Linked DNA regions of Drosophila melanogaster. The protein of the gene in region 2 interacts with the protein of the main gene of each other region in a pairwise test. Each region holds a gene or a part of one and is shown on either strand. Other genes may lie near its edges.

Evidence for each region.
Region 1: the proteins of CG33155 (region 2) and CG8128 interact in a two-hybrid assay, tested with the Drosophila melanogaster proteins (one large-scale study listed by BioGRID).
Region 3: the proteins of CG33155 (region 2) and CG6479 interact in a two-hybrid assay, tested with the Drosophila melanogaster proteins (one large-scale study listed by BioGRID).
Region 4: the proteins of CG33155 (region 2) and CG10444 interact in a two-hybrid assay, tested with the Drosophila melanogaster proteins (one large-scale study listed by BioGRID).

What each region holds. Positions count from the first base shown.
Region 1 is NC_004354.4:15,695,381-15,700,960, reverse strand, and holds CG8128 (uncharacterized protein), read right to left. Parts: upstream 3,468-5,580; 5' UTR 3,298-3,467; intron 2,929-3,297; exon of another isoform or gene 2,639-2,928; 5' UTR 2,441-2,638; coding exon 2,274-2,440; intron 2,202-2,273; coding exon 2,080-2,201; intron 1,800-2,079; coding exon 1,096-1,799; 3' UTR 927-1,095; downstream 1-926. Other genes in the region: CG9240 (uncharacterized protein), read left to right, coding at 154-555.
Region 2 is NT_033778.4:13,952,355-13,956,844, reverse strand, and holds CG33155 (uncharacterized protein), read right to left. Parts: upstream 2,651-4,490; 5' UTR 2,546-2,650; coding exon of another isoform or gene 2,400-2,545; intron 2,348-2,399; exon of another isoform or gene 2,159-2,347; coding exon of another isoform or gene 2,038-2,158; exon of another isoform or gene 1,984-2,037; intron 1,929-1,983; coding exon of another isoform or gene 1,801-1,928; intron 1,631-1,800; coding exon of another isoform or gene 1,437-1,630; 5' UTR 1,429-1,436; coding exon 1,246-1,428; 3' UTR 1,181-1,245; downstream 1-1,180. Other genes in the region: mRpL53 (mitochondrial ribosomal protein L53), read right to left, coding at 1,437-1,630, 1,801-1,928, 2,400-2,545; AGO1 (Argonaute-1), read left to right, coding at 2,038-2,158.
Region 3 is NT_037436.4:17,336,321-17,341,724, forward strand, and holds CG6479 (uncharacterized protein), read right to left. Parts: upstream 2,943-5,404; 5' UTR 2,860-2,942; coding exon 2,837-2,859; intron 2,817-2,836; exon of another isoform or gene 2,792-2,816; coding exon of another isoform or gene 2,781-2,791; coding exon 2,476-2,780; intron 2,417-2,475; coding exon 1,809-2,416; intron 1,753-1,808; coding exon 1,423-1,752; intron 1,364-1,422; coding exon 1,001-1,363; 3' UTR 852-1,000; downstream 1-851. Other genes in the region: CG13727 (uncharacterized protein), read right to left, coding at 3,959-4,473, 4,603-4,996.
Region 4 is NT_033778.4:20,270,283-20,276,031, reverse strand, and holds CG10444 (uncharacterized protein), read left to right. Parts: upstream 1-1,532; 5' UTR 1,533-1,793; coding exon 1,794-2,775; intron 2,776-2,832; coding exon 2,833-3,614; 3' UTR 3,615-4,379; downstream 4,380-5,749. Other genes in the region: CG11788 (uncharacterized protein), read right to left, coding at 1-46, 105-1,244, 1,304-1,341; CG8908 (uncharacterized protein), read right to left, coding at 5,247-5,427.

The DNA.
Region 1 (5,580 bases), on a different chromosome or scaffold from region 2:
CGGGTATACTTGCCCAACATGTGCCAGCATCACATAGTTCGTGTGAATGCATTAAGGTACTCTCCACTTGTTTTTCCACCTTGTGTAACTTCCACTTGATATCCTTCTTTTGCGGAAAAGTACGTACACTCACATTAATGCAACCATTTCCAGTGCAAAGGACCCTCCATGGAGCCCACCCTGCACTCGGACAACGTTCTTCTCACCGAGCGCTTGTCGAAACACTGGCGAACCTACCAGCCCGGCGACATAGTCATCGCCATATCGCCCATCAAAGCCGATCAGTTCATTTGCAAGCGTATCGTGGCCGTTTCCGGTGATCAGGTGCTAATCCAGAAGCCCATTCCCATTGAGGCGGAGTTTAGTGGTAATTCGGATGACAAGAAGAAGCCCGTGATGGTCAAGGACTATGTGCCGCGCGGACACGTTTGGATTGAGGGTGACAACAAGGGAAACAGCTCGGATTCCCGCTACTACGGACCCATTCCGGTGGGCCTCATCCGGAGCCGCGTGCTCTGCCGCATCTGGCCGATATCCGAGGCCACGGGTCTATAGATGGCATTCGTACAACAAAGAGTTTAAAATCAACTTGACCCAATAAATGGCCTATGTTTCGTTTGGAAATTATAGTACATCAAACCACAACTTTTTAGAATCATTACGTATGCGAGTTTCGTCTCATTTGTGCGACTTCTGGTTTTTGCATATCATTGAAAATAAGTTGAAAAAAACAGGAGAGAATAATAATTTCTTTTCATTTTTGTTTTTAATAAACATATTTTTCAAAGTATGAAGCTTACATCCTTAATCCTTATTGGCTTACCTTCTAAGGAAGTATTTACCATGTTTGGGCGTCATATTCAAAATAATGCCATATTTTAAATTATTGGCGTTTCTAAAAATGGTATCAAAAGAAAAGCTTTTGTAAAAGGCTGTGTGAGCTTTAATTGATATATGCATATAATTATATACAAAAAAATTCATTTATTGACTACATTGTGAACATTTGAATGCGCAGTTGTGATGCTGCTGGCTTTTGGAAGAAAGGACTTTATAAAAATTGCACTAAGGATTTGGCCATTGCACCGACAAGTCTCACGAATTCTTTTTATCCTGCTGCTCCTGTGGCTGCTCCCGATCCACGTAATACAGATTGTATTTCTTCTTTAGCACCTGATGCACTTCGTCGCGACAGGTGAGGGTCAGGCCGCGCTTCTGGTAGTCCAAAAAGGTGCAGACGAACTGCCTGTTCGTCTCGTGGACCTGCGGATGCTTCAGATACTCCGCGATGGGCATCCACTGGATGCGCGCTATCTCGCGTTCGCAGCGCGTAAAGTCCAAATTCAGTGGCTTTAGGGCGATGACCACGTACATGTCGGAGCAGCCGAAGGTGCCGCCATGGGCATGCCGCAGACTGACCACTGAGCGGAATTCGGTGCGGATTCCCGTCTCCTCGGCCACCTCTCGTATTGCCGCATCGATGAGATTCTCCCGCGGCTCCACATAGCCGCCGGGCAGCTTCCAGCTGTTTGGTATCATTGCAAAACGATCGGACACCACCAGCACCTCGTCCTGTTCGTTGATAACCAGTCCGCCGACGCCCATTAGCGTGTGGGCGTAGGTGGGTAGGTTGCTAGACTCGTGCTCCGGCAACCAGCGGTACATGACCACCACACCGGTCTTGGCATGATGGAAATCAAAGCCGTTCTCCGCCAGAATGGGCACCCAATCAGCCTGCTCCTTGTACACGCGGAACCAAATGGCCCGGTTCTTGTTCGTCGTCCAAAAGTCCAGGGATTCTAAAAGGTATTTCGTTATTAATATAATTTGGTAATTGGTGACACAGATTTAATTAAAATTATAAGCCGTTTATTGTCTATGACTATTTATAGTCATAGACAACTTTTAAATTGATAAAAGTGGAGAGCAATGATTTTGGAAATTTAATTTAGTACCCCAACTTTAGATAGATAAACTTTTAATCAACTTATGATAGCACGAAGACTTAGAAGATACAATGATACAAAAAATATACGTCCAGGCAAAGATACCGACATATTTTAAGATATATATTCTTACTTGTGAGCTTGTCCCGGAAACTGGATTTGTCCACGTTCTCCTCGCGCCCATCGACTGTTACTCCGGCAAATCGATCCGTAATGCCGCGGAATACATCCGCCGGCGTGTCCATGGTTTTGGAGCTAAATCGTGGGATACAAATAGTTTTCAATCATGTGTTAAATACATATGTATGTACATCTTTCAATTCTTACGACGAGTATGCTCTTGTAAATTGCTGCTGTGACTGAAGCTTTAATGGAACTCTGGCGGCAACCGTGGATGTGGGTCGTTTTCTAGCGGTCCGGAGGAGTGTGCTCCATGAATTGAACGCCGGCTGGTTAAGTACGGTTCTGCGAGCCAGAAAACCGGTGGCCAACATTAAATAATCTCACAGTTCGACGAACACAACGTTGTTGATGACGACGACGGCGATCGACCACGTTGGCGTCACTACTAGTTCGCAACCGGAGATCTGGGTGCTGTCCGCTTGGTGGGCGTGGCGGAGGCGGTGGCGGCGACAACGACTTTACCGTCTCAGTTTATCCACAATGCGAGGTGAAGCCAATTCCTGGGCATGCTGTGTGTGTGTGTGAAACGAGGCAAACAGACAGGTGAAAGAGGTGAAATAGCCGCATGGCTCCAAACAACGATGCAAATCTGCTGCGATGGGCGGAGCAGAGCGAGACGGAGGAGCAGGTTGCCACTATCTGCCGCCGTCGCTAGATAAGCGATATGGCCGCTGTTACGTTCGGATTTCTGTTCTTGACATTTCGAATTTGGCGCTAACGTCAGTAACAAATAGTGGCGATAGAGATGCGCAGAACAGTGTGACTTTGACAGAAAACCGGTGACATGAGTATAATGAAACTAAAATATAGATTCAACTGAAAGTATCACTATATATGTACATATATATAAAAAACTGTGTTATCACTATACTAATACTAATACTAATATTAATGGCAATCACGATAGCAGTCACTGCTTCCTGCTCATCTCTAGCGCAACCTTGAGCGACAACCCAAGGTGCGTGTGGGTGGTGGGTGGCGGTGTTGGGGTGTGGGGTCGTTTCAATTGTTTCCGCATGGGTTTTGTGTTTGTTTATCAACTGAATTGCTGCTGTTATCAACGCGCCAGAGAATTGATACGCGTTTTACATAACAAACCAAGCCAAATATATTTTTTTTTATTCCATATCTGCGCTAGAATAGAACATTGTGTGGAACTCGAACTCACTAGAAAAGTCAATGGCTAATGGTGTCACTGAGCCAATCCGTCCAGTTCCTCCAGACGACTAATTACAGATCCGATCCAATGTAGCCATGGACTTTGGCATAAACAAGCGAATAGAGCAGCGCGCGATTTCAATTCGCTTCCACTTCCACTAGCACGTTAATTTCTAGGGATGGCGCGCACACAGAAAAGTCAGTCAGCTGATCCGGCAGTGCTGCCAGCCTGGCTAGAAAAAGCTGTTCAGCCTTATATGTAATGGTTAAAAATCAAATATGAGCAAACCAACATTTTTTAAATATATGGCCTCCGGAACAATTTATTAAATCTTGAAATAGCTAATATGGGTTATATAAGTTACTGGCTAGCGGCTTGGCTAATATATCGAATGTTTCCATCCTTTAGATGGCCAAAAGAGCTTAAGTTCGCTGGTCGTCGGCTTCGTTGCGGGAAAATTCGCTGCTGTCATCGCTATTTATCGCGCTCTTGGTATGCGTGCAGTCCTTCCTACAATAATATAGTAATAGTCACAGTCAATGCCAGGAAGGACAATGCTGCATAAGTAGTAGCATAAGTAATGATTAATTCAATTGGGAAATTTTTGATGAGTACGCAAAACATCTAACGCTATTCTAATAAGAAATGCGACCAGCTTTAGAATTAACATTCTGATTAGCAGAGGGTTGAAGTCGTTCTTAAAGACGGCTAAAAGTAGACTACAAAATATTTAAATGCAAGAGGAATTCAATAATCCTAGAACTTAAACTAAGCTTTTCAAATTTGAATGGAAATGTGGAATAAATACCGTATATGTAGCATTCGATGCCGATCTCCTAGTCTCTATCTCTAATCGGTTCGACGTGGCCACGTTCGGCCAGATGCAGCAGATCCTCGATGCCCTGCCTGCGGAGCATGCGGCGATGATTCTTGAAGAACGATATCACCTTCTTGGACTGTGGAGCCCGCATCCGTCTCTTGACCGTCATCGTTGGTCATCTTGGAGCTACTGTTCCATTTTTAATTTTTTCGCCTTTTTACTTTACTTGAATACGAAAAGAAACATATCTGTATAAATCGTTTTAATAGGCCAATAGGTGCCTTCAAATTCTATAGTTGAGATCCTTTGAAACTTTATTTTCATATATAACTAAATATCCTCTTTGGCTGCGCGCCCAGTTTGGCCCATTTCTCTCCTCTTCACTTATTTTATTTTATTTAATTTGATTTTTTTTTTTTGAAATCGAAATAGTTGCGCAATTGAGGGCGAGTCCTTTGTGCGAGTCCAGTGATTTGGAAAGGGCTATTTAGAGCAACAAAGCGCCAGCGACCAGGAATCCTGGGGAATCAGGAACCAGTTAGCAGTTTAGAGCGCGATTGAAGGGATTACGAGTAGAAAGGATCGTAAATGTGTTGCGAAATGCACATTTAAACCGTGACTCACCAGGGGGGTGGTAGTTGTGTGTGTGTGGGGGGGGGAGGTGTGTGTGTGTGTGTGTGGTGGTATGTCCTTGTGCCATAAATTCAGGTGCTTCAGTTGGACAACAATGGTACTCGTTGAGTTTCGCCTGATGTTTGTATTTTGATTGCCGGCTTAGCAATTTTCAATTTCTTTTTGTTTTTTGGGGGGGAAATTCCCAAAAAAAAAAAAATATGCGAAGAGGGAGTACATAAAAAAGTTACCCCTCTCCAGCGGGCGATATTTGCTCAGTTGTTTAAACAAATTTTCCGCTTAGGGTTGCTAACCAACCTCCTGTTTGCACACAATGGATTTCCATGCCGTGGCTTAAGTGAAAATGCCATCTCAAATATTTATTAAAAAATCTATGGCTGTTTGGGGACACGTACATATACACACATATATATATATATATATATCTATTTTCCATCGCCGGCTTATCGAAAACTTCAACTCCAATGTCGAAGTTGGTGGAAAATCGGGGTTATTAGGTTCCCAGGCGCGATCTTCGTCAACCCTTTTCTTTGTATTTCCTTCACTATTTTGCGCGCACCCGGAAAATTCTTGTTTGTAATTAGGGAGTTTTCCTTATCATTTATACCCGTAATGCCCTCGGCATTCAGCATTGTTTCGCCGCCAATTAAGCGTAATTTCAAGTGTCCCGTTCTCGTATTTGTCTAATAAAAGTTTGAAAAACTCCTAGGAAAACTGGTTGGGTTCGCTAACGAACTGTTTATATTCAGACAATGGTTTGGAAATTGAAATAAATTAACGTCGATTTTTCCCCATTTCCAGTCGGTGGGTGTGTGCCTTTGCCAGCTGAAGGCATCAGG
Region 2 (4,490 bases):
CGAAGAAGTTCGTGTCGACAGGTTTACATGCTCTTGAACTTTTAACAAACTAATAATACCCTTTTATACAGTTATTGCGATAGGATTATATGATCCAATCCTAAACCGATTAAAATCTTATCAAAACATTGGGGAGTTAAAATTTATATGAGTTACTAACTTATAACAAAAACCAGTAATTTAAAACCAATTTGTAAGGACTTATGCTATAATTAAACAAAGCTTTTTAACGTTTCTAGCGACATATTAAAAAAAGGTTTTATAAGTATAAAAAACTTATCGGTTTCAAAAACTTAAATTTGCTATGTTATTAATGCGCAAGCTCCAATTTGCAATCTTATGATCGAAGCTATAATACCTCGTTCGCAACTTCAAAATTTAAAAGTGGGTGGTGAAAGTTTTTACGACGTGACTCCTTCAAAACGGCTGGCGAACAGGCGGGGAGAAAGCTTGCAGCCTGACATTGAACTTGGGGGCACTCTGAACAGAATTCTATTAATCACAGGGTGCCGCAGCTTTTTGGGGCAACTTTCACCAACCATTTTTGCAGCTGCCACACTCCAACAGATTGTTGCCAGTTGCAGCCATCGATTTCGTCGCAAATACGTACATATTCACACATTTAGAGCGCGCCATTTCAAAACTTTAGCTCAAAGCTTGAACTGCACAGTGCACTTTCTTCCTTGCTCCCCCATTAGAATAAGACTTCAATTCATCTCAACAGCTGTCTTGGCAACAGAGAAGCTTTCTCCACTGCCTGTTGCATCCTTGTTGTCATTACAAGAATGCAGATGATCATTCACTTGGAGCAGTAACAAATTAATGCCACAATTCATGAACAAGTCTGTAGTGGTCCACCCCAGCCACGTCCACCGTCCACTTTGCATGGCCCATTTGGTCGACTTCCTGCGGTCCAATTACCATTGGCTCCTCCCGCCCCATTGTGATTATAAGCTTTGGGACGGCAGGCGGCTCTCCGATCCGCTGACATCAGCAAGCGCAGCAAACAGCAGCCGCTGCAGCAGCAGCAGGAGCAGATGATTTTCCGGTTTGCCAGGGACCGAAAAACTGGTTTCGAATGGCGAAAAAAAAATGAAACAAACGACAGGCTGACCGAATCGAATCGAGCGCTGCCCTTTTGCACAGTCGGGCCAAAAAGACAATACAGTGCGGAGTGTTTGTTACATGTTAGAGCGTATATATATTTTGAAAAGTACGTGTGCGGAATTGAACAATACAATTGGCTTAGAAATCGACGGGCTTGATGGTGATGAACCGGGAGAGAATGAAGGCCACCAGAATGGTGGCGCACACGAAACAGAAGGCGAACATGTAGAAGCTCTCCTCGGTGAAGATGTCGGAGAATGCGGGTATATCCTGGTAGATCTTCTCGATCACCGCCAGTGTTCCTTTGTGCTTCCTCACCATCCTGATGGTTACTTCTTCTTGGTTGCCTTCTTTCCGCCGCCGGCGCCTCCTGCTAGTTTCTGTTTCTCCGCCTTGGTCAGGACCTTGTTGGTGATCTCCTCGCGCGGTGCCAAGCTGGACACGTGCTTGTTGCACAGCTGCAGCAGCTCTAGTGTGTTTAGGTTATCGCTGTTGAAGCGGATCTCCTTGACTTGGGCTTGTTCTGTGAATGATATAATATCAATAAGTGTTTGCTCTTTGAATGTTGCAGTTTCAAAAGGGTTAACTTAGTTGCCCACGCTAAAAGGAAACCAATTTTTCAATACATATTTCATATGTATTTTGGTTCCTTTTAGTTAGATATTTCAGCTGTCCCAGTTTAGGTATTCTTACCTTGCGCTGAATCAATCAGGGCAAACTTGATGTTGGCCGGCTGGCGATCGCAGACGATTTCTGGCTTGACCACGCACTTGGGATTCGTAGCTGCCACTTTGGGTGTGGAGAGCAGGAAGAGGAATTCCCTGAAATTAGAATTGAAATAGATATCTAGATTATTGATTTATCATCACGATTTACTTGATTTTTCAGGAGCAGCGACGCCGCCTCAAACTGACGCCGACACCGACTAAAATGTCCACGGAGCGTGAGCTGGCTCCCGGTGGGCCAGCTCAGCTCCATCCGCACACGCTGCCGCTGACTTTTCCGGATCTCCAGATGACCTCCACCGTGGGCATCATTGGGAAAGTCTACGGTGAGTGTGGCACGCATTTATTTCATTCCCCAACCCCATCACCTTTTTAGCCCTCGAAGGATCGGTTTTTCTGGTGTGAATACTTCACTGCACCCTTTTTGGTTTTTCTCAGTTTCTTCTTAGTATGATTTTCTTTTTCCTTTCGGTTTCGTGAAAATTCTATCCAATTTGAGTGGTGAATAGGGGGTGTAGTGCGCATGTCCCGCTATCGATATCGGTGAAAAGCGCTTTTCCGACTCACCGTGTGGACTTGACATTTTCCGCGAATGGATCGAACTGCACGGTTATCCGCTTGACGCCCTTCAAATTCACGCTCTTCAGCTGCTTGCCAATGGCGGACACAATGCCGCCGGAACGCCGCAATGCGCCACTGAAAGGCACAGACATTATTTATGTTTTTTTCACGGCGGCAATGAAAACTCTGCGGTTTTTCCGCACAAAATTTACGACGTAACAAACACGCTACGTAACAGCTGAGCGACGATAGCGATAACGGGCCCACTCACGATGACCGCCGATGGTTGTACAACACTGGCATTAGCAACCCTGCCTCGCTATGCCCAGATGCTGCTTGTATAGTCATCTCGCTCACTCGCACGGCTGCGGGCGAGAGTGCTTTGCCCTCATTTAAGTGTGGTTAAGAGTGTACAGCATGCGTCACGCTCACACGTCGCGAGTACAATTTTTGTGTGGACGTCCAGTGTGTGGCTGCTGTGGGAAAAGCTGAAGAAAATTGCATTTTTTGCATAATGCGCGGCGTGAAAAGCTAACAAAAGTTGTGCTAAATCAAAATTCGATAGTCTGGCCACGGTTTGTGCATAAGAGCGGGCGGCGCGAACGTGTTTGGTGCACAAAAACCACGTCTCGAAAAATTAAGAATTCTACGTGCACACATTTTTTGGGCTGCCATATATAAAAAAAAAACGCATACAAACGCATTTTCTTGCTGTATATGCGGAGGAGCACACACACACACACAGAGCGACAGACACGCATACAATTGCACTCACGAGATATGCGAGCATAAAGAAGAATTTTTTCTTAGTTGTATTACAAGAGCATTAGATACATATATAAGTATATAAATATACATATATACACGCCTAGGTGTGTACATAAAAGATACATACATATAAAATTAAACGAAAGCTGTGCCTACATTTGTGTTCTTTTCCAATACTAAAATAACAACAACAAACAATAATAATAATAATAATAATCATACGAGTAATATAAATAAAATAATGCAAGTCGAGCGAGAGACAGCGACAAGATAGCACACCCACTTGTCTGCTCATAATTCCAATTTATATATAATAAGCCTACGCCACGCCCACGCGCAACTACAACAACAAAAAACAAAACAAATGCAAAATCAACCAAACGAATAAAACTTTAAACTACTTTAAAGTGTGATAAGCAAAAGGCTGAAATCAAAAACAAAAAAAAAAACAAAATAATTAGTAGAAAACCAAAAGCAAAGGCAACAACAAATACAACAACAACAAAGAAACAAACAATCAATTACATTTTACACCAAAACACGAAAAGCAAACACGAGCCAACATTTTTTACATTAATTATTTTTCTTAAACCAAAACCTAACTTAGTGCAAAAACATGTATCCAGTTGGACAACGTAAGTGGCTAGCAAATGATGATTGCGACTAAAAGAACAGACAGACAATTTCCAGACAGAACAAAAAGAAGAATACAAAAATAGGCGATTGCTGCCACAAGTTTCCCTCACACCATGCCACACAGCCCCCCAGCTCCCCTTCGCCCAGCCGCCCACTAATCAAGTTTTCGATGTTCTACTTGCACCTTTATGCATATACATATGTGATACATACACACGTGCAAATGCCACACAGACAGACACGTGCGTCAAAGTGCAGAGTTGAAAATGCGCAAAAATTGGGTCAACAACCTTCGTCGCGTCGCAATAGTTTCCAGCTTTTACGGGGGTTAATCTCTGGCGTCTTTTTTGGGGCCTGCGTCTCGAATTTATTCGAATTCGGTTTCGTATATGGATCTGGGTTTTTTTTGAAGAGCAGTCACTCCCAATTGCGTCGCAATTTGCCACCAATTGTGCGTATTTCATTTAAATATTTATGCTTCAATGGGGTGAAAACGTAGAAGTCGTCGAATATGAAAAGAGTTTGCTGGGGAAGGAAGGGATCGTCGAAAAATATGATTCTTTTGTTTGAAATCTGAATATATTTAATGGGATCTTACCAACAGCGATTGTTGTTTATGCCAGAGAACTTCAAAATAGGTACCCTTTTCCAATATCATATGTCATATTTTTTTTATCACAATAAACAACATCA
Region 3 (5,404 bases), on a different chromosome or scaffold from region 2:
GCGAGGGTCCAAATATTGTGACAAGAAAATGGCTCGGCACAAGGAGATACTAACGTTCCACGCTCCAAGTTCCAACTCCAATTCCCATCTTAGGCATCGCGTCTCCCGACTCCGCGGCTGAAATGCTTTGACAAATTATTTTTAAGCCAATTTACAACTTGAGAAAAAGTATCAGGAAAACATATCACTCCACACACACACACACACACACACACACACACAGGGTGTGTGGTTCGCTTCGGTTCGGTTGGGTGGCTGAGTGTGTGTGTTTGTGTAGGTAAAGCAAATATAATGCGAGGGATAAAAGTGTAAAGTTGACAACCCAGGCACATTACTCACCCGAGGTGCCAGCCATCCAGCCATCCGGGCATCCGGGAGTATGGGCGGCATTAAAATAACCAGCCAACCGATTCAACGTCAAGCCAGAGCCCAGAAATGAGCATGGCCAAGAGAAATGGTAATGTGACTGGTCGAGAGGGCCCAGGTCCTGCTCGTCCTGGCGCCTGCTTTAGGGGTCTCCGTTTGCGACTCCTTCATTTTGCACTACTTTGGAGCATTTTCTCAATGTCTCTCACTCGACAAAATGTCGACAGCGTCGGCGGAAACCATTAATTTTGTCACTTTCGGAAGTGCAAAGTGGCGAGCATGTGGGAGCATGTCGCTGGCCGAGCCAATGGCCAGGTCACCAACTGGCTGGTCAATAGTGAGAATCATGAAAGGGCAATTAAAGTCGGGCACCTGTGTGCACATATCCGCGAATATAGCTTACCGCCGACTGCCAAACAAGTTAATTGCACAGACCGCAGGCCACACGACACTTGATAACCGCGAAACCACAACAGTCGTAAGTTGGCTTAATAATTACAAATGTATAATTTCATAGTAACGAATGATGAGGATTGTCCAGTCACCAAACGCTAGTCGAGTCACAAAGGATCATGCTTAGAAGTAAGGAGTGATTAGGGGTGGGATTAAAAGTCATAGCCACTAGTTCCACTGTTCAGTCTTCGATGACGCACATGATGTTGATACCACTTTTGCCAAGATTTACGCACTCCAGAGCAGAGTCCTGGTGCTGTCGCATATAAATTAGGAACTGTATGATAACGTAGAACAGGTTATTCCTATCGTAGACGCAGTTGTGTAGTTCTTTGTCGCTGATAAAGTTAAATTTAGGGTTAAGTGGGTTGCCGGTACTTAAAATGGCGCAGTGGGCCTTGTTGTGAACTGCGTTCACCACGTCCTTGGTCGAGCTCTTCTCGTCGCGAATTAACACGTAGCGGGAGTGAAAGGGTCGTCCGCCGCCCTGCGGCAACGGCATCAACTGGCTATCCAAGTACACGCAAAATAAATGGAATATTATCTGCAGAATGAGGTTACAATTAATCAAGAGTGCTCAGTTGCGGAATTTCGTATACTCACAGCTGCATCGGTGGGCAAATGCTCGTCCCGCTGCTGACCGTTGTGTGTTTTGCCCGAGTACCAGCGGTAGTCAGCTATGCAAGAGCCCTGCGCAAGCTCCTTGATGCGCTGCACCAGGTATTCCTGGTTGCTGAAGGTGTCCAGGAAAGGTAAGAGCATGGGCAACATGGGCGCACACGTCTGCACGAACTGCTGGTTCTCGGCTGTTTTGCGTAATCTCTCTACACTCACAGATCCAATTTTAATGTCAATCAGAGCTCGCTGGCGGAAAACATCGTCCACATAATTGATCTCTTTGACCAAACGCTGAAGTATGGTCGTAGAAATCCACTAGAAAATGGTAAGACATTAGTACGTTGCAGTGGAATATTGAACGGGATGCTTACAAATCTTAGGTTGGCCACATATTGCGACAGTTTGTCCGTGGATATGCGCTTGATGACCTCCGAATTGCTGTCCCTAAACTGAATACCGCCAAACTCCTCAATCGAGGTGGGAGCATTTTCCGTAGAAACAGCCGGAGGTGGCGATAGTTGATAGATGGTGGTCTTGAGCATATAGGCCGCATTGTTGCAGTAGTTCCAGAAGGAGTTGGCCGATCCCATGCTCTGCACATTGGGTGTATCCGAGCTGTCCATCATGCTGCGCTCCCGATCCGCCTGCTTCATTAGACTGGTCAACTTTCGTGTATCGGTCATGAAGTCATCGCGTCGCACCTCCGCATACGGGGACATATAGGTAGACTCGTTGCTCAGATTGCTGGCATTCAGCGAGTTGTTTCGAACCATCGAGGAGTTGTAAGAGGTGTTTTGTTTCGTCTGCTGCGGCGTCCTTGTGGGACTGGGGCTGCGGCGCATGGATTGCGAGCCCCAGCAGGAGTCCTCGAAGGAGGAGTGCCAGTTGATGATGGGTATGTCGTCCTCTATATCGCTATCCGGTTCGTAGCTGCGTGGTTTCATCACGGCTCGGGAGCAAACTGTACGAAAAGAGTTCTCTATAGGAATAAAAGTGGTTAAGTGGATGCGTTAGAACGGGTTCCTTTGGATTCCTCACCTGCCTTGCCATCAAGCAGCCACTTTTGGATATCGCTACCCGTAACTTGGTCACCACCAAACCATAACCACAAATACTTGCCGAAGCAGGCGAGTGCACTTAGGCCAATCAGGGTCGTAATGGTGCACTCCGCCAGGAACCAGTAGGTCCTGTAGGCGGACCGACATGCCTGCCAGAGGTCGAAGAGGAGTAGCGACAGCAGCACCACATTTATGGAGCACCACTTGAGGTAATGCCGCGCTTGGGCGCCCTGCAATCGCAAGTCCAGGCTGCGCTGCACCACTGGGTTTTTACTCAGCGGCGAGCTGAGGAGCATTCATGGGTTAATTTTCTGAATTCTACACTAGTTTCTGTCACTTACCAATTAGTCCGTGTAAAATTCATTGCCTACTATGTGATAATTATTAGAAAATCACCTGAATAGGTCGAAAATGCCGGGAAAACTTGTTTGTAAGTGATAGCACAGACAAAAAGTTAGAATACCACAAGGTCAAAAAATAAATACCGTTTGGAATGAAACGCGTTATGTACTTTGTTGGCTCAAGATACCTTAGCGGAGACACTTTCCCTAGCGAAGACACACACCTATCGGCGATGTTTTCTTTGGTATGGATCAATATCCATGATATCATATTTTTTAATAGAACTAAAATTATTTTTATGATTTTTAAAATGATTTTTTGTTTATCCGAATGTTTAAAGCTATTCACCCACTCTAAACGTATTACTTATCAGCAACTTTTAATTTATCATTTAAATGCAGTGTTTTATAATATTTTTTAGAGTAGTTATAAAATTAGCTGTTTTTTAAACAAATTTTTTCTCTATCTTCAATATATTATGACATAAGCCGTACAAAACCGAAGACTCAACAATTTTGCAACATTTATGAGGACGCTAAAAAATTCCTTAATTTAATTTAATTTAGTTTGTTTTTAATGATATAAAATAACTTTTAATTTATTTCATTCCCTAAGTAAATTGTATATAATTGTGTACACATGCAACTAAATGTGTATTCTCAATAACTTAAAAATATTTTAAAATAAATATTTATAAAATATAACTTTTTTGTTTAAAAATTATACATTCCTTAGCGCACTGGGATGACTGGGGCTCGTCCGGGAATTGAACCCGGGACCTCTCGCACCCGAAGCGAGAATCATACCTCTAGACCAACGAGCCGGTTTGAACCTCAGTCGACTAATTACGCAATCTAATGTAAAAAAAAAACTTACATATAGCCATTACAAAAGGTTCCACAAGTCACTTAAAATTACGTTATCTTATTCTCTCCATATAGACAACTAATTATTAGGCTCTCGTAGCATTAGACCCTTAATTTAAATTATTTAAATTATTAAAATTATTTAAATGCCATCACTGACTTTAAATAAAAAACACGCTTGTAACTATATGATATATTAAAAATAATATCTTATATATTGTTTCCTGATTTAATACATTTTCGAGAGGACGGTACTTAGATAGAGCTATTCAGTTTTGCATCAGTATTCCCTGATCGTAAAGCCCGCTTCACTGCCCTTCTTCTCCTTCTTCGTTTGCCAACGACTGTAGGTCCGACACCCACTCCCACACCGATCCCCGGAACAGGAGCTAGTTGCAGCAGGAGAGGATTACTGACCAGGGCGGCGGCGATGCCCAGAACGGTGGCACTGGCCAGCGGAATCAGGAAGCTTTTGGCCAGCAAGGCCTTTGGTGAGATCTCTGGCGATCCCTTGTGGGAGACTATCTCGTGGGAGTCGATGGGGTAGGAGCTGTAGGAGTAATCCACTGCTGGCCCCGGGTAGTGGCCATGTTCGGGTCGAGGTCGATAAACGTGGTATGGCACCCCTGCCTCTCCGCTGGAGGAGTAGGTGTGCCCAGGAGCAGGTCCTGGCTCATAGCCATGTCCGTTGGATGGTCCGTAGTCATACTGATAAGGTTGACTGTCATAGGCGTAACTTTTGCCAGCACTTCCACTGCTGCCATAATGCCCTTAAATAGTATTAAATATATTTTTAATGAAATCTACAATAAACAACAGTCATCAATTTCAAATATTAATCATTTTAAGTTTGAGTTTATCTTTGTAGAATATATAGATTGAGTAATCTTTGAACTCACCCACGCTTATTCGATCGTGTATATTCCCACCTAGTTTCCACTTATCATAGGCCTGGCTAAGGTTATCATTTAGGTCACTAGCTTGGGAGCCATGAGCTCCTCCAAAAGGCGGCAGCGCACCAATGGGCTTGGATATGAAGCCAGCTGCAGTGCTATCCAACTTGGATGACGATGAGCCCGGTCCGCGGTAGAACTCCGGGGGAGGATCGTAGCTCTTGGCTACTGCGGAGCCCACGGGGTCCAGTTTCACGATAGCCTGTCGTTTCCGCGGCTGCATGGGCTGCCAGGACTCTGATTCCTTGGACGCGTTCTGTGCGGATGCGTGCGCTATGGTTAGAAGGAGACCGAGGCAAAGGCCAAAGGCCAAAAGTAACTTCCCTTGGGACGCGAACATGTTAACTGAGTGCGACGCCTGCAGACCGGCGGATTTTATATGGGTCCCGGTGTCGCCATGTCGTCATCTGGAGTGGGTGCCATTACAAGCGCTGGCGACAAATTGCAGTCCGACAATTTCAAACCGTCGCCGCTTGGCTGCTGGCATTGAGACGTCTGCAGTGCGTTTCGGGAGCGATTAGTGCCGCCAGCTTGGAGCCCCTTCAAGATTTGGCCACGCGGCTCTTTCCACACTCTTTCATCAGGCATTATATCAGGCGGAGGCAGCAACGAGCATGTAGTTGCCAATTTGTGCCTCTCTTGGATTATTGAAATAAAGCGTGCGCACCCAGAAATCCATAGCCCCCGCGACAGGTGAGCACCCAGAAATTAGTGGAGTTATTCGCGCCCTCGGCAAAAGAAAACAAAA
Region 4 (5,749 bases), 6.3 Mb from region 2:
CTTGGCCAATAGTGTGGAAACGGACAAGTTTGGGGTGGTAAAGCACCTAGTTATAAAACCGAAAATCAAAAAAACAATCTAGATATGTGTTCATCATTACTTACTCTATGTACGGTTCCATTTCCTCCATCGTCCATCTCTTTTTAGTCTTAAATAGCGCCCGCATGCGATCGCTTATATTGGTGGGCAGTAACTCCTCTGCCAGGGAGCGTATGCAAGGCTGCGCTCCCTCCTTGTCGCAAATGCCCAGACCTCGTAGGTACTTTAAGTCGCAGGACATGCCCTCGGGCAGTACCTCCTGCCAGGTGCGCATGAACTCCTCGTTGCGAAAGCGCAAACCCGGCTGAAGAATGTTCTGTGCCACAATGCGGGAGACCAAGGACTCCTGGTACTCAAACTTGCCCGGGCAACGTTCACTGGGAATGGTATAGATATCAAACAGCCCAGCCACAACATCCTCTGGAGCTATGCCCTTCAGTGCATTGATGGTCTCCTCCCGTTCCACTTCGTCCAAGGCCCAGGAGTTTTCGCTTATCAAACCCAGCATCATGTTAATAATGCGATACTCGTATTCGTACTCCATCACGCGCATTCGCCCGTCCAGTTCTATGGCTCGATATTGGTTCAATCCCTCCATGAACTGACCGCGGCTGCACTGCACCGTGTCCAGGAGCTGCGAAAAGGTAAAGAGTAGCTTCTGCTCCACGCAGAACTCGTTCTCCGGCCCCGAATATCGAGTCAGCTGCAGTAGTTCACCCAGCTTGCGAAAGCGCGGCTTTATCTCGCGGCACTCGAAGTACTCGTGGAACACCTTGAGCACCGGCCGCTGCTCCAGAGTTCGCGGCACTTCCAGTTCATCCTCCGTGCTGTCATTGAGGCTGCGCTCCAGGGAGGCGTTGGCGTTGCCAGTGCGCGGACTCTTCAGCGGCGAGGTGCTGGTGGCGGCGGCAAACTTGAGGTCCGGTACCAGCAAAAGGCTATTGGATATTTCCGCGCCCTTCACGTCGTACGTTCGCTCATCGGTGCACAGCACCAGCTTCTCGTTCTGGCCACCCTTGAAATATAGCGTCTGGCCGTCGCGGATTTGTCCAAGCATGTGCCCATCGAGCTCCAGAAGGCGCAGATTGTCCGAATCCACGTCCGCCGAGGGAAAGTACAGAGCCTGGGTGAGTTGGGTCAACTGGCGCTCGTCCAGTTTCGCATGCTTCACAATGGCCTTCACATCCTCCGGCGTGCGAACGTAGCTATGGCGGGTGGTTGGGTAACATTATAACTCCTACGCAGGCATACCAAAGGCACTCACAGCTGGGCAGCAGACTCATCAACCTCCATGGATTCCATGTTCGCTGCATGTAAACAAAACAAAAAATTAACCAAAACAATGAGCGGGAAAAAGTAGTGGGACCAAAGCACAGCAATGTTGCTTTCGTTGAGGGTATTCAATGGCCTTTCAATATGTAAGCTTAATGTGCTTGGAAAACATTACAGCATTAATCCGCACACCCTGCAAGGGCACACTCACCGCTCAGCTGATCAGTTATTTAACGGTCGTAGCCTCGGCAAGAACGTTTCTTTTTTGAGCGGAGATTTCGCGAGCACGCGTCTTGTTTTCCGCCGTTCGCCGTGCACTTGGACGCGCACTTTAGAAAGCGTTGACTGCGCCAAAGGTCATTGCTGGGCAAGAGAAGCGTCCAATCGCCGCTGGTGGTGACGCTTGTGGAAAAATCAATTCGGACCAGTGACGGACGTCGAACTTCCAGTTCTCTGACAAGCGGAATCCAGTCAACAACAACATGCCCGTGGGAACGTTTGACGCCTGGGATGCGGCCGTGCTGATCACCATCCTGGTCATATCGGCTCTGATTGGCATCTACTACCGGTATACAGGCGGCAAGCAAAAGACCACACAGGAGTATCTGATGGCGGACCAGAGCATGACCACTTTTCCGGTCTCCTTCAGCCTGATGGCAAGCTTCATGTCCGCCATCTCACTGATGGGCGTCTCCAACGAGTCCTACGAATTTGGTACCATCTTCTGTGTGATCAACATTGCCTACGTGCTGAGTACGCCCATTGCCGCGTACTTCTTCCTTCCTGTTTTCTACAGGATGCGGACGACCAGTGTGTACGAGTATCTGGAGCGGCGCTTTGGCCAGGCCACCCGGCTGTCCGCCTCCCTGGCCTTCACCGTGCAAATGGTGCTTTACATGGGCATTGCACTCTATGCACCAGCGCTCGCTTTAGAAGCTGTAACCGGCATTCATCGGTCAATGGCCATCGTGGTCATTGGACTGGTGTGCACCTTCTATTCGACACTTGGCGGCCTGAAGGCGGTGCTCATCACGGATGTGTTTCAGTCCTTCCTCATGTTTGCCGCCATCTACGCCGTGATTGCCGTGTCGGCCATTAAAGCCGGCGGATTCGCGGCCATCTGGGATGTGGCTGTGGAGCGAGGACGCGTGAACTTCATTGAGTTTTCATTGGATCCCACCGTGAGGCATACTTGGTGGTCTCTGATCATTGGCGGCATGGTCACTTACCTCTCCTTGTATGGCGTTAATCAAACGCAAGTACAGCGACTCCTGAGTGTCCGCAATTTGAAGAGCGCTCAGTCGGCGCTTTGGTGGAACCTGCCCATCCTAGGAATGCTTAGTTTTAGCACCATTTTCAGTGGACTGTCCATATTCTACTATTATCGAGATTGTGACCCTTTGCTAAAGGGACGCATCGACAAGCGGGATCAGATCATGCCCCTTTTCGCACTGGAGACTATGGGTGAGTTGGAAAGACATCCAATAAGAATTAGCATTATTTGATTTCTTTTTCCGGCAGGTCAATATCCTGGACTGTGTGGTCTGTTCGTGTCCGGAATATTCTCCGCCAGTCTTTCCACGATTTCGTCGGCAGTTACCTCGCTGTCGGCTGTAACACTGGAGGATTACCTGAAGCCCTTGTACAAGGCGATATTTAAACGGACGCTAATTGACTCCAAGTCCACGATGCCCACCAAGATTGTGGCGTGCATTTTTGGCCTGCTTTGCATCGGTCTAGCTTTTGTCGCTGGCTCCATGGGCGGAGTTCTTCAGGCATCGCTTACCATTTTCGGTGTGGTAGGCGGTCCGCTGCTGGCCATTTTCACACTGGGAGTCTGCACTACACGCAGCAACCAAAGAGGCGTGCTGCTTGGCTTCCTCGTTTCCCTGATAGTTTCCTTCTGGATGGGATTCGGCGGACCCAAACCAAAGCCAGTTACCTTGGAGTTTAGCACAGCGGGCTGTGAGAATGCCACCGCGGTAATGGCGCGTGCCATCGAGCTCAGCTCAAAGAGCAGCGGAGTGGTCATCGAACCCGACTACTTCTGGTTATATCGAATTTCTTACTTGTGGCTGAGCGTCATCGGCTTTCTTATTGCCGTGGTCGTCGGCTATTTCAGCAGCATTGTGCTGGCTCACTGTGGAAAGGCAGAAAACGCGGAAATCTATTTGGACAAGTCTCGGAAGCAGCTGGACTACGATCTCTTCGCACCCATGCTGTCCCGCCGCTGGCGACGCCATAAAGAAGAACAAGACCAAACTGCCCAGGACGAAACGCTCACCAAACTAACTGAGCAGTAGTTCCGCCCGGCTTAGATTTAGTGTAGAATATATACATACATATAAAAGAATTTCCAGAAGGCGTCGGCTATTTGGTTAGTCGTGTTACGGATGTCGTACCTAAAAGTGCATAACTATGTGACCTTTTTGTATACCTGTGTGAACGAAACTGGCATACAGAGCGACCAAAACAGAGTCTTCCATATACACGTAAACAACGATAATTAGTAGTTATTAGTCGTGTTGCAAATGTTCACAAGCGCATCATTAAGAGGCCTCTTAAGAATAGTCAAATGTTTTTTACAAGAACGTATCAAAAGTAGGAGTCTACCTCAATGAACTTTTACAGAGGGACAATAATCAATTTGGAGCCTAAAAGCGAGTTGGCCGACTACTTTCCCATGTTGAGCATTGGCAGCCACAATGCCCCACATAAATTATTGATTTAGTAGTACATCTAATTTTAATGGGATATTTATATTCATACCTCTTAGTTACTCGATATTTGCATACATAGATAACATAATAACATTACAATAATACACTACAGTGAGCACCGCCTATAAATAGTTACTACATGGCTCTTAAAGCATTACATTGCGCCACAGTGTGAATTCTGTTTACTTATATACCTCTACTATATGTACACAAATATACTATAGACTAATTATATACTCGTGTCGTGTCGCAATCAACCATTGAACAATAACTCGGAGCAGTGAAAGTTATGTGTATTTGTAAAAGCCAAACTGCTGATCATTAAAGAAATCTGTTCTACAAAATGTGATTGCCTTTTTTTTTATTTGCTGCGGAAACATGATACTTGCAATCCCCAGCTGCAGCTTGGATTGAAATAATTACTTCGGTTGGCTCATGGGTGTTTTTCAGAAATCACGATTTGTCGAATACTTCCTGCGATAAGCAAATTCGTACGCTATCAGCTACCAAGGTTATGCGAGGCTCTCCCAACATTGCTCACTCGATGAGGAATCTATTTCGGAACGAATGCCATAACTTTCAAGCGTTTACCTTTGCCAATTGACTATTGCGCCATGCGGGAACAAAGTCTAATTGCGGGTCGGAGACAGCAAATTGCTTAAAATTGGAGAAGCCATGGGTCAGCATGTGAATATGGGTTCGCCTGTAAACAAATGCCAATTGATAGATTTGTCGAAACATCATTAATAAACCCAGACCACGCTCGTCTTGCTCATGGAAAGTTTTCAGAACGGATTGGGAGTTCAAAGTACGAATAGACTCGCATGACACACATTTTTGGCTAATGTTCTGGCGAAAGAGGAGACCAAAAGCGGTGGATAACATAGTTACGCCATAACCGATTTTTGTTTACTCTAACTTAGTGTGCGATTTACTATTTTTAACAATATTTATGTTAACCAACAAGAATCTTAAGGCATTTATTTGTATTCATTAGCAACGTCATAAAATATAATAACCATACAGATTTACATATAAGAGTATCAATTTGGCGACTGATGATTGTTTAGCCTTCATTTTTGCAACGCCAACAGATGATTTGGGCGATTTGTTAGCATTCGGAAGCAAAGCTTTCACAGATAGTTTCGCTGATACGATAAGGGTTTCGTTTGGATAGCATTCATTGAAGTGATTCATTGGGGAAGATTTATGGTTCTATTGATTCTGCTTCCTCACAAACTTCATGAACACATCCTGGAAAGTTGTATGGCTGACCGAGTAGTACAATATCTGCATCTCATCCTTCAAGTTCTCCATGTACTCGAAGATCGCGGACCACTTAATCTGCCCTCTGGGAATGCAGAAGGTGATCATGCCACGGTAGGAGTACTTCTCGCTGGGGGGAACAATTAATTATAATTAATTAAATATATACAACTCTTAGCTCTTTAAATAAATTACAATAACTATTATGCTCGATTGAGATGTAAGGTCATAATAACTTTCCTTTAATCAATCATGACTTTCTTATACACAACGTAAACAAGATTATTTTCATTTCTGTGCCAGTATGCGCGATTTGCCCAGACTATTTATATATGAGTATATTATTTGTAAATAAACCATATTCACATCCAAAGTGAGCAGCAAATGTTTATGTAGATATCTGTGTGCGTGCACTAGTGTATTGAAAATTTCAATCTGCTGTTGCAAGTGGT